Diceros bicornis minor: one gene and its partners. The protein of the gene in region 1 interacts with the protein of each later gene in a biochemical or structural test. Links are inferred from orthologs where the notes say so. Each region holds a gene or a part of one and is shown on either strand. Other genes may lie near its edges. The genes, in order: CASK, CASKIN1 and CNTNAP2.

The links.
Region 2: the proteins of CASK (region 1) and CASKIN1 interact in a biophysical measurement, tested with the Homo sapiens proteins (2 studies listed by IntAct, with this or other methods). The link is inferred for Diceros bicornis minor from reciprocal best matches to the Homo sapiens genes CASK and CASKIN1.
Region 3: the proteins of CASK (region 1) and CNTNAP2 form a complex in vitro, tested with the Homo sapiens proteins (2 studies listed by BioGRID and IntAct, with this or other methods). The link is inferred for Diceros bicornis minor from reciprocal best matches to the Homo sapiens genes CASK and CNTNAP2.

Annotation. Positions count from the first base shown.
Region 1 is NC_080781.1:36,527,360-36,531,103, forward strand, and holds the start of CASK (peripheral plasma membrane protein CASK), read right to left. Parts: upstream 2,289-3,744; 5' UTR 1,724-2,288; coding exon 1,665-1,723; intron 1-1,664. UniProt on the Homo sapiens protein: Multidomain scaffolding Mg(2+)-independent protein kinase that catalyzes the phosphotransfer from ATP to proteins such as NRXN1, and plays a role in synaptic transmembrane protein anchoring and ion channel trafficking.
Region 2 is NC_080765.1:46,222,403-46,226,146, forward strand, and holds the start of CASKIN1 (caskin-1), read left to right. Parts: upstream 1-1,055; 5' UTR 1,056-1,309; coding exon 1,310-1,403; intron 1,404-3,744.
Region 3 is NC_080742.1:94,000,624-94,004,367, forward strand, and holds the start of CNTNAP2 (contactin-associated protein-like 2), read left to right. Parts: upstream 1-1,154; 5' UTR 1,155-1,198; coding exon 1,199-1,256; intron 1,257-3,744. UniProt on the Homo sapiens protein: Required for gap junction formation. Required, with CNTNAP1, for radial and longitudinal organization of myelinated axons.

The DNA of each region.
Region 1 (3,744 bases):
TGTAAAATACACATTGGATTTCAAAGAAGAAAGAAAGGATGTAAAATATCTCATTAATAATTTCTATACTGATTACATGTTGAAATGATAATAGTTTGGATCTATTGGGTTAAATAAAATATTTTATTAAAATTAACTGCACCTCTGTTGTTAATCTTTGTAATGTGGCTATTAGAAAATTTACATATGTAATATTTACATATATAAAATTACATACGCAGCTGGCATTATATAGCTTTTGGACAGCACTGCTCTAGAGCACTTCCACAACCACTTTGTCAGGGTGCATTTGGATTTCCTTCTTCTAGTAGACAGGCTGGTCATGTAACAATAGAGGCAAGGAGTAACATGTCCTTGCATCAACTGGGTCTGAGGAAAGTGTGTAGCAAGCTCTACTCACAATTTCACCAAGTGAGGCAACACTGAAATACCTCAACATGGAAGAAAAAAATGATTTATCAGCACTTAAACAAATTGAAATTCAGTACTGCAGACAACTTGAAAGAGAGCGAGCCAACTGCTCTAAGGTCTTGGTTTCATTTCCCAACTGCGGACCTTAAAACAGACAATAAAGCACCGCTTCCAAAATGAGGTAAAATATTTCAATGGCAGCTATCTAGCAATCCTTAATAAATAAGCAAAAATTGCTCTTAAATCTTATCTCCTCAACTTCCAAAGCCACAGAATACACATTGAACTAGGAAATCAACTTCAGATCGCCAGCATTTCCTTCACAAGCAAATTAGCAGGATTGTGCACTTGGAATACTGTTTGACAAGAATGAAAAGGAAACTATTCAAAACAGATTTAAGGAATGGACAATTAGATGAGGAACTGCAGATTTAATTCTCAATCAGCACTGTGATTAATCTGATTCTCTGCTTTTCCCTAGTGTAATTATACAACACAGATGAAAGGATGAGCATTTGGACTGTCAGTTCTATATTCTAGACCAGCCCGGTGACTCAAAGCAGACGGCTCTACCACGCTAACCACCATCCCAACAACAGTCGAGGGAAGACTCGAACACTGATTTACAGTCATTGCATAACGAGGCATTAAAAATTCGGCTACCCCCAACTCTTTCCACGTTCGTCTATACCAGGCGAGGAATTCGCTGAAACTGAACGCACCCCGTCTTAAATGACCCCCTCCAATCCGGGCAAGGGGTGAACACAAAGGCATCTATCTAATATCCTGCACAATAGACACACACCCCACAATTAAAAATCCTGGACGTTCTTTCTCTATCTTTCCACGCAAGTAAAGGAAACGCAAGCTGCTCTTTTCGTTAATGGTTTGTGCCACACGCGAGATAACAATAACCCCAACTGTTCCCAGGAAGCAACTATAAAATCGGTTCTGCCACGTCCCTGTGCAACCGTCAGATAAAATGCAGACAGCAGATTTCAGCCGGCCCCACGCCTCATGGGGTGGCTGACCTCGGCTCGTTCGCCTCCACGGATCGCTGAGAACCCCCCCCAGACCCCCGCCCGGCAGAAGGTCCAGGTACACGTCTATAAATACTCCCGGGTGAGGAGGACAAGGGAGGCGGAGGGGAGGGAGGGCAGGGGGCAGGCCTGGAACGGGTGCGGGCGCGGGAGGACCCGGGCATCACTGAAATGCATTTTTCCACACTCCCGCTCCCTCGCGTGAAGACTCACTTGCCGATCACCTCGCACAGCTCGTACACATCCTCGAACAGCACGTCGTCGTCGGCCATGGTCCGGAGGGGACAGCGGCCGCAGCGTGGAGGGCTCCGAAAACGGGGGTGGGGGCGCCAAAGAGCTCAGTGCCCGGCCCCTGGCTCGCCTCCTCCCCTCAGGACCCGCGAGCCCTCGGAGCCGAGGACGCTCGAGCGGGGCTGCGAGGCCCGGAGACTGCGGCGCCTTCCTCTGCGGGCGACCGCCCCGGCGCGGGCGGCGGGGCCGGGGCGCGGGAGCGAGGGCGGCCCGGGCCCGGCGCCGCCCGCCCGCCCGCTGCTCCTCGCGCTGCTCGGGCCGCGCTGCCCGGCGTGCGGATCCTCGGGGACCGCGCGGCGCCGCGCTCTCTGCTCGTCAGCCCGCGCGGGCCGCGAGGCCGCGACCGCTCCCTCTGCTGAGGCTGGCTCCGGCGCGGCGTGGGGCAGCTCGGGCTACAGAGGGGGCCGCGGCAGGACCATGGAGGGAGGATCGCCGCGGAGGGAGGTGGCGGCGGCAGATCAGCGCTGGGGACCAGGAGGCGGCGGCAGAGACGCTCCCTCCTCCTTCTCCTCCTCCCGCCGCCACCGCCCGCCTGGGAGTGGGAGGGGGCTTCGCGGGACTGGCTCTCTCTGCGGGCGGGAGCCCCGGCCGCCTCCTTCAGCTCCTCCTCCTCCGCCTCAGCCGCCGACCAGCTCGCGCGCCCCGCGCACCCGCCTCGCGCACACACGCCCTCCTCCCCCTAAGGCCGCGAGGCTTCCCGAACCACAGGCCCCGCCCACCCCAGCCAGTCGGGAGGCGGTGGCCGAGGGAAAGGAAACGGGGCTGAGCGGCGCATGCGCGCGCCGCCGGCCACGTCACGGCAAAATGGGAAGGCGCCGGGAATCTAGAAGGGGCGGGGAGTTGGCCCGCAGGGGCGCGCCGGCGGCAGCTGCTTAGGCGGGGGCTGGTCGGGGTCGTCACCTCCGCGACCAAGCCGGTGAAGGGGCTGGGGACAAAAGGTCCACTACTGAACGCACGTTCTTAGCTCTCTGCGGCGAAAGACTCGGAACTTCAGCCGCTCCCCCGCTTGTTTTGTAACCGCAGGAAGCCTTTCCCAGTTGTTGCTGGGGAAAGAGGCTGGGAAAGGGTCCTAATGAATGGGAAAGCAAGAGGAGAGGTGGCAAGGTTGTCACTCCAGACCGTGCTGGGCGGCGGATGCTTTTAGAGCTACTCTGTCATTCCTTAGTGAAAATGGCTGGGGAAGGGAGGTCGTCCACCTACGAGTAAAGGACCAAACAAAAACTGTCCAGGAAGGCGTGCGACAACAAATGGCAATTTATAGAGACAGCTTCTCCTGCATTCTGCCCCAAACACAACAAATATCTATCCAGCGCCTGCCCTACTAGAGACAGCCTCGATAGAGGTCAGGAAGGCAGAGACACACAGAAACTTTAAGCCCCTTTGTATATCTCCCCCCCACAGGCCCCCAAGCCCCCCAGCATCTACTCTGCTCCCTAAACTCCCTATAAATGTTAGATATGTCAGGATAAAAATGCAACTAGAAGGAGTGGATGCACAGGGTCAGCCAGGGAGCAAGGTTCTGGGTGTTGCCGCTGTGCTAGGTTGTATTCAATATGAAGATTTCTGTTTGAGCATGTGCGGAATGAGCCAACGCCATCAGACAGGTATATGCCTCAGTTGAGGACCAATAAAAAAAAGTCTTTGTTCCTCTGCACAGCGGAAGTGCCCAATTAGTTCATAAGTCAGCTTCTAGAAATCATCTGGTAATATTCTCAGTGCGGTAAGAAAACAAAAAAAAAGATAGTATTTACCAAAGTGTATGTGGGGTGGGTGGAGATCCACAGCCTATTTTCTCTTCAGAAACGTTTTGTGCAAACCCTTGACCACTCCCTTAAGAGGCTGAAAGATTTGCCAGTGTTAAGGATTTGAGTACTAAACCTTTTTTGAAAAATGCAAATCAGAGGAAAAATATAATTGTATGAAAAGGTTTTCCTCCTTTCCCAGAGACCTTGTGCATTCTCTAGAGAAGGAGATTTAGAGCCTGAGAAACATCGCCTCCGTT
Region 2 (3,744 bases), on another chromosome or scaffold:
CAGCGCCTGCTGCTTCCCCTCCATCACCCTCTGGCCACTTTCCTCCTGGACCTGCTTGACACTATGAGCCATAGGAAGAGGAGTGGCACCATATTTGCGAACCTCACCAAATGGTCCTAACAGTTTTGCCCGGTTAGGGTGATGATCTGCCCCTTCCTGCAAATGAGGAAACCCAGCCTGAGCCAGGACACAGACTCCAGCTGATCTGTCTCTGTGGAATGCTGCAGCCACGACAAGTTGAGGGCCAAGGCCCAGGAGGTCAGACGAGTGAGACCTGTGTGTGTGTAGGAGGGTGTCAGCATCTGTCAAGCAGGACTGTCCTGCCTGGGGCTGCCAGAGTTTGTGCTGGAGGCTGGAGGGTAAGCAGGCCTGGGTGGGGGCTCAGATTAGTGCTGGGGATGGGGGATTGAGCCCCCCTTGGCGGTAGGTGTGGGGAGTTGCACTCTAGTTGGTGCTGGGGAGCTGCACTGGGGTTCAGATTGAGGCTGGGGGGGCTGGTGCTTGCATTGTTTGTGGAGAGAGCCACAGGCTGCTGGGGAAGAAGGTGCAGTTGTGGGGGTGTGAGTTCCCTGACACCGAATTCATTATTGGGAGATTCCTCTTCACAATCCCTTGACACCTCCCACGGAAACCACGGGCCAGAAATGTCTGACAGCCTCTGGCGGGCCGGCTCGCCTGCCGCCGGCGCCCAGGTCTCTCCTACCCCGGTCCTCTCCCGCCCACTGCCTCCGAGTCCCTCCCGCTTTGGATCCCGCAGCCTCTGGAAGCCTCTCTCAGGTTCAGCCTCGCGCAGCCGCCGAGTCGGGGCTCACTGTCCGGCCCCTCGGCGGCTGCTGTCCCCAGCCCCTGGCGGTCACCCGGGGCCGCGGGGCGTCCGCAGAGGCCGGGCCTGATCCGCGCGGCCCGCACGTGGGGAGGGGGTGTCTCGGGAGGCCGGGGCCTGATATAGGGGCGGAGCCAAGGAGCCGGGCGCGCGGCCGGCGCGGGCGGACGGAGGTCGGCGGCCGCAGGAGCGGGACCCACGCGTCCGGGAGACGGCGCCAGGTGCCGCGCCCCCGCCCCGCGCCCGCCGCCGCCGGCCCGCGCCCCCGGGCCGCCCCCCGCCCGTGACGCGCTCCCCGCCCCCTCCGCGCCGGGAGCCGGAGCCCGAGCCGGAGCCCGAGGACGGCGAGGGGCGCGGGCGGCGGAGGAGGCGGCGGGGGAGGGAGGAGGATGCGGCCGGTGCCGCGGGGCCGCCGCCGCCGCCGCCGCCTCTGAGCCGCGCCGAGCGCACGGAGCGCAGCCGCGTCGCTGCGGTCCCGGCCGCGCCATGGGGAAGGAGCAGGAGCTGGTGCAGGCGGTGAAGGCGGAGGACGTGGGGACCGCGCAGAGGCTGCTGCAGAGGCCGCGGCCCGGGAAGGCCAGTGAGTGTGGGGGGCGCGGGGGGCGCGGGCGGGAGCCACAGCGCACCCCAGGGGCCATCTCCAGCGCCGAGCCCCCCACCCCTCCCGGCGCAGGGTAGGGAGGGGGATGTTGTCGGGTCCCCCGGGGCGGGGCGGGGCCAGCTTGCCCAGACCCTCGGTCCGCGCCCCCCGCTCCCAGCACTCAAGGAGGGGCGGCGCCAAGTGCCCGGCCGTCACCCCGAGCCCCCCAGCGGACACCTGGCGGCACCCACCTCCTTAGCGCAGGCGTTCGCATCCCTCCCTCCGTCCCTCTCCCTTCCCGGGCTGCGGGCTGACAGCTGGAGGTCTCTGCTGGGGCTTTAAAGGGCGAGGCGGATGCCCCCCCCAACTATGGAGAGAGAGAGGGGGCCCTTGCGGTGAGGGGAAACCACAGGGCTGACAGTCCCTGTCAGACCCCCTCCCCGCCCCACGTTTAATAACACGCTTAGCAGAAAAGGGGGGGCAGGACCATGCTGGGGGTGTGGCTGCCGAGGCATGGCCGGCTGGGGGCCATTTACTAATGGGGGAGCAAAGGTCCAAGGTCGCCCAGCCCAGGGCAAGCTGAGCTCCAGGCACGTGCGGACCCTGCAACAGACCCTAGTCCTCTCTGGCTTCTCTGCTGGAAAAGGGGGCTGTGGGGGGGAGGGGGGCTCCCACTGGCCATCCTGAACCCAGCGGGTGGGGGCCCCAGGAAAGGGTTGGAGCTTGGAGCTCTGATCCCGGGACTCAGCCTGGCTCAGCGGAGCTTCCCCGGGGGGCCGCTGGAGATGGATGGATGGGCGTGTGGACCAGCCGCGTGTGCGGCTGCGCACGTATGGCCGTGTCAGTGTGTCAGGGCACCTGTGCGGGTGTGGGCAGGGCTCTGCGGGGTGGCACGTGGGGTCTGAGTTCCTCCTCCCCATGACACCCCCAGGACTGTATGTAAGCCAGGGAGGCCCCCTCCCCTCTCTAGAGGGGGCATGCTGAGAACTGAGATGGCCTCTGGGGCAGGTGAGGGTGGGTCCTTGAGCCCCAGGAGGACCCCTCCACTGCAGCCCCTGCCTGGCCAGCTCCTGTCTGCTCTGTGCAATTAGAGAGCCGCACATCCGTGCCTTGTAGGCACACATACACAGGTTGGCCCTGCCTTCCACACCGGAGACCCAGGGATGGTCTGCCAGTTGGGGCTGGCTTGCGGGCCTCAGGGCTCAGACAGGGAGGACTTCAAGGTCGAGGCAGCCTCAGCTGAGCCTGGAAAGCCGGTGAAGGAATTGAGAGGTGGAAGGAAGGCAAGGTAATGCTTCCACCTAGTGGCCGTGCAACCTTGGGCACAGACAATTCCAGCTCTCGGGGCCTCAGTCTGCTCATCTGTAGGATGGGGACATTTGTAGTCCCTGCCTCAGAGCATTGTTTTAAGAACAGTGAGAGAGCACATGAAGCCCAGGCCCTCAGTAAGTGGTCAGTAAGTGCTAACTATGACCAACCCTTAGACAGCCCCGGGTGGGCAGGCAGGGAAGTGGGGGCATCAGATTTGGGGGCTCCTCCTCCCTTCTACTCTGGTCACCCGGGGAAGGTGTGGGGACTTTTACCTTTCCCTGGGTCTCTGCCTTCACCCCTGCCGAGTCTGGTCTCTGGGTGAGAGACACCTGCCCTGGCCCCCTTCTCTGGGCTCTCTGACTCACAGGGGCGGGCGTAATAAATCAGACAGAGAAATCCCTCCATGAATTAGCTCGGTCGTCATGACAACGCTGGCCTGCTTTGGAGTAAGATATATTTTGATTCAGCAAAGTACAGCTGGAGTTTGGGCCATGGCGGGGCAGGGAGCATCCAGCAGTGCTCTCTAGGGCCCCCAGACTCCAGAGGTGTTCTCCCAGGATCCCTGTTTCTGTGTTCTCCTCCCCAACCCTCCAGTGTCTCCCCAGGCTCTGCCAGCCCCCCATCCCGCCTCGACGGGAATGCCCCTTGCATGCAAGGCACAATGCCTAGCAGTTGTCCTTGATGGGGAGAAGAGACTGCTCTGGAGGGAAAGTCTGGGGGTGTGGTGGGTGGGGAGGGAGCTGGCCTCCTGCTGGGGGGGGACACCCTGCCTTTCCTTCTGGGCCAACCTCCCCTTTCCCGACTTCACGGGAGACCACAGGCCAGCGCTCCTGTGCTCTCACCTTGCCACCAACAGTTCCCTTCCAGCCTCAGGCCGAGAACTCCCTGCCTGCGGGGAGCTGGGAGGAGACTGCACTGGCCCTGCCTGCCCCGGGGAGGCCACAGGGCTCAGCTACTCTGAGATGGGACCCCCGAGGAGGCCAGGATCACATCCCTTTAGGGGACAGATGTGGCTGTGTGGGGTGGCCTT
Region 3 (3,744 bases), on another chromosome or scaffold:
CAGTATTGTATTCTTCATTTCTGATTTGTTCTTTTTTATATCTTCCATTTCTTTGTTGACACTCCCACTGAGTTCATCTATTCTTCTCCCCAGATCAGTGAGCATCCTTCACACTCTTAGTTTGAACTCTCTATTGGGTAGGTTGCTCATTTCTGTTTCACTTAGTTCCTTTTCTGGGGTTTTGTCCTGTTCCCTTACTTAGAATGTATTCTTTTGCCTCCTCATTTTGCCTCTTTCCCTGTGCTTGTGACTACATATTAGGTAGGTCAGCTACGTCTCCTGCTCTTGGATAGGTGTCCTTATGCAAGTGATGCCTTAGGAGTCCTGCAGTGTGCTTCCCTCAGTTCTCAATGTTCCAGGGGTGACCCCTATGTGGGCTACGTGTGTCCTTCTGTTGTGGCCTGTTTGCTGTCCCTGTAGGCGCCCAGGGAGGCTGAGTTATGCTCCTGGCCAGCTGCTGTAATGCTCAGCTGCTTGTAGTTGTTGTGGGCCCTTCAGTCTCTTTATCAGGTGTGGGGATCCCCAGCACAGTTGGCTGTGAGTTCTAATACCACATTTGTGTTGCAGTATTTCTTATAAGTGAGTAGGCCCCCAGCGTGGCAGGTTGTTAGGCTCAGGGCCTTACAATTGCTGTAAGCCTCTAGCCTATTAGGTCTCTTGTCAGCTCTCTGAGGATTGCAGCTGGGTGGGGCTGGCCTCAGGCACAGGAGCACCCAATCGTTTCAGGCTTTGGAAGGTGGGGCAAACCTCCTATGTGGGTCTTTGAGAAGCACAAGTCTTCTGCAGCTGACAAACCCTGCCGCCCACAGGTCCACACACACAGGCAACACAGCCCTGCCCTCTGTGAGCGCCCCGACCTCCCCATGTGGACCCAGTCTCTCCACCGCGGGAGCCCCACACACTCTGCCACCGCCCCACACTCTCCACCAGCTGCTTGTGGACACCCTGCCCTGCTCAAGTCTGCTCAGTTGCCAGGCTGCAGAGAATCCAGTCACCAATCTATGCAGGCCCACACGTTGCCTGAGGGCTTGTTGTTGGGTGGGGCCAGTCTCTAGGGTGGGCTGCCTGCTCTGGCTGAGCTGGATTAAATCGGTGCTCTAGTGGGTGAGGCAGACCCTGGGCTAGCAGGCCTCAGGGAGAACTCCAATGGCGTTTGTGTCAGCACACCCACACCGGGCCACAACAATGGCCACCGCCAATGTCCCAGTCCCTGGAGAGGTCTCACCGCTCACCGAGATGCACTCAGGGCCTATTAGGTGAGTCTCTTTTCACCACAGCACTGTGCACCTTTCTTTCTGGTGATTTTAGGATGCTTTCTGAAACGGGTGAGTTTGCGCGCAGGCCCTTTAAGAGCCAGTTTTAGTTTCTTTGTGAACCGGGTTTTCTAGGGGTGCTCCCCAGTGTTTTAGTAGCAGGCACAGTCAGATATTATGCCGCTGGTCTCGACTGTGCTGGGTCCACAAAATGCCCCCAGCGGGGGCGCTCCCCGGCTCAGGGCCCCGCGTCTCCAGGGAGGCTGCGTACCTGTGCGCTGCTCCCGGCGGCCGTGAAGCTGGCGGCTCGTGAAGGCTGCGTTTTTCCTCTCCGGAAGGGAGTCTCTGCCTCTTCTACCTCAGTTAGGATTGTCCGTTGTTGCAGGAGTTCCTCTTATCCAGTTTTCAGTTCTGTCTCAGGGGTAATTTTTCCACGAGTCGTTGTAAATTGGCTGTGTCCACGGGAGGAGGTGAGTTCCGAGTCTGCTTACGCCGCCACCTTGACTCCGCCCCAGTTTTGATGGTTTTTAATGGGAGTCTGTTGGTGGTCAATTGCTTCAGTTTTAGTCTGAAAATGTCTTAATTTCACTTTCTTTCTTGTTTGATCATTTAGCTTGACATACAATTCTAGATTGGAATTTTATTTTCTTTCAGCGCTTGAAATGTATTATTCTACTGCATTCTACCTTTTGTTTTCCCTTGTTGAAAAGTCTCCTGTCTGCTTTAGTATTATTCCTGAGGAGTCATCTGTCTTCTCTTTTGCTACTTTTAAGCTCCTTGGTGATCTGCTCTTCCAGTATTCTATGTCTATCACTAGATTATTTTAAATTTTTATTTGAGAATTATTGTCCTCCTTGAATCTGAATCTTTAATCAGTTCTGAAAAACTCTCAGACATTATTTCTTTGAATTGCTTCTCCATCATTCTCTTTCCTCTTCTTCTGAAATTTTAATCAAATATATGTTAGACCTCATTATCCTCCACATTTAAAAATTCATATTTAATATATTTAATCACTTTTTATTTTTGGACTGTGTTCTGAGTATCCAATCTATCTTTCAGTTCACAAATATCTTCTGTAGCTTTGTTTCATCTGCTTAATACAACTAATGAATTTTTAATTTAAATAAAGTATTTTTTCATTCCTGGAAGATCTATTTGATCATTTATCAAATTTGACTGGTTACTTTTAATACTATCCCATTCTTTTCTTATATATTTGATCCCATTTTTTGTTTCTTCAAATAATTTCTGAATGTTTACCATATTCTCAATCCTAAAATTTATCTGAAATTTGTGGGGGGCCACATTTTTATGTGTGATATTTCTGCTGAATCTTGTCCATTATGCTTTGTTTTCTTACGTTTTATATTTTTGGATTGTGAGTTTAAATTTCTCAGGTTTTTATTTTCAGGAATCCTGTAATTCCAGAGTCAATCTGGAGAGAACTTACTCTTCCTTCAAAGATAGCAACTTAAAGCCACTTTTTCTCTTTTAATTTTTTGGCTTGGGGGATACACCCTATCGTCAGTGTAGATTTGAAAGCTGAGCAATTGATAATTTTGCTGAGCAAGCCTATGGCTTATGAGTTCCCAGTAAGTATTTTTTTTTTTTAATTTTTCTTTCTATAGGCCAGGAAAAGAGAGACAAATTTCCTTGTCATCTCTCTTTGCTGACTAGTGAATTTTTTTCCAGTATCTACTTCAACTGAGATTTTAGCATTTTTAGGCTTTATGTGGTAGTGTGGTGGTGTGTGTGGGGGGGGGTGGAGTGGAGAGAGTTGTTCCTATTCCTTGCACAAATCCAACACTGGATTTCTAATTCTGCTTGGCCTTTAAAATCCAAACTTCTGCATTACAAATATCAGCAAATACCCTCTAAATACTAAAAGCCCAGCATCATCTGGCAGCCTGAATTTTAGCTTTTCCTTTTCTTTGACCCCTGAAAGCTTCTCCTACCTTTTGGTCTCTTAGATAGGTAATTTAAAGGATGTGTGTTACGTTTTCTCTAGCATTTCTAGGTGTTTTGAACTGGAAATTTTCAGGCTCCTCACTTTGCCGTGTCATAGGAAACGAAATTCTCTAGAGATTATTATTTCTCTCTCTTTCCTAAATATTCTATAAAATATTATTGAATGTTAAATATGTTAAATAAATTATCTCGTAGCAGGGAATTTATGTCATAATAAAAAACAGATATGATAAAAATTTTACACATATTTTTGTATGCAAAAAAAGTCATTTTTTTAAATAACTCAGAATAGATAGTGTCAGCATTTTGGGAAAAATTATCATCATGGGAGAGCATCAGGTTAGTGAAATTTGAAGCATTCTCAAAATATTTTGCCTTGAGACTATAATATCATACTTCGTTGAAGAACGTGGAAACGTCCTTACAACAGAAGAAAAGCATCATCTTTATACCAAGTGCAGAACGTTGAAAAGATCACATCAAGGGTAATAGCATCATCAACAACATATATATATATAAC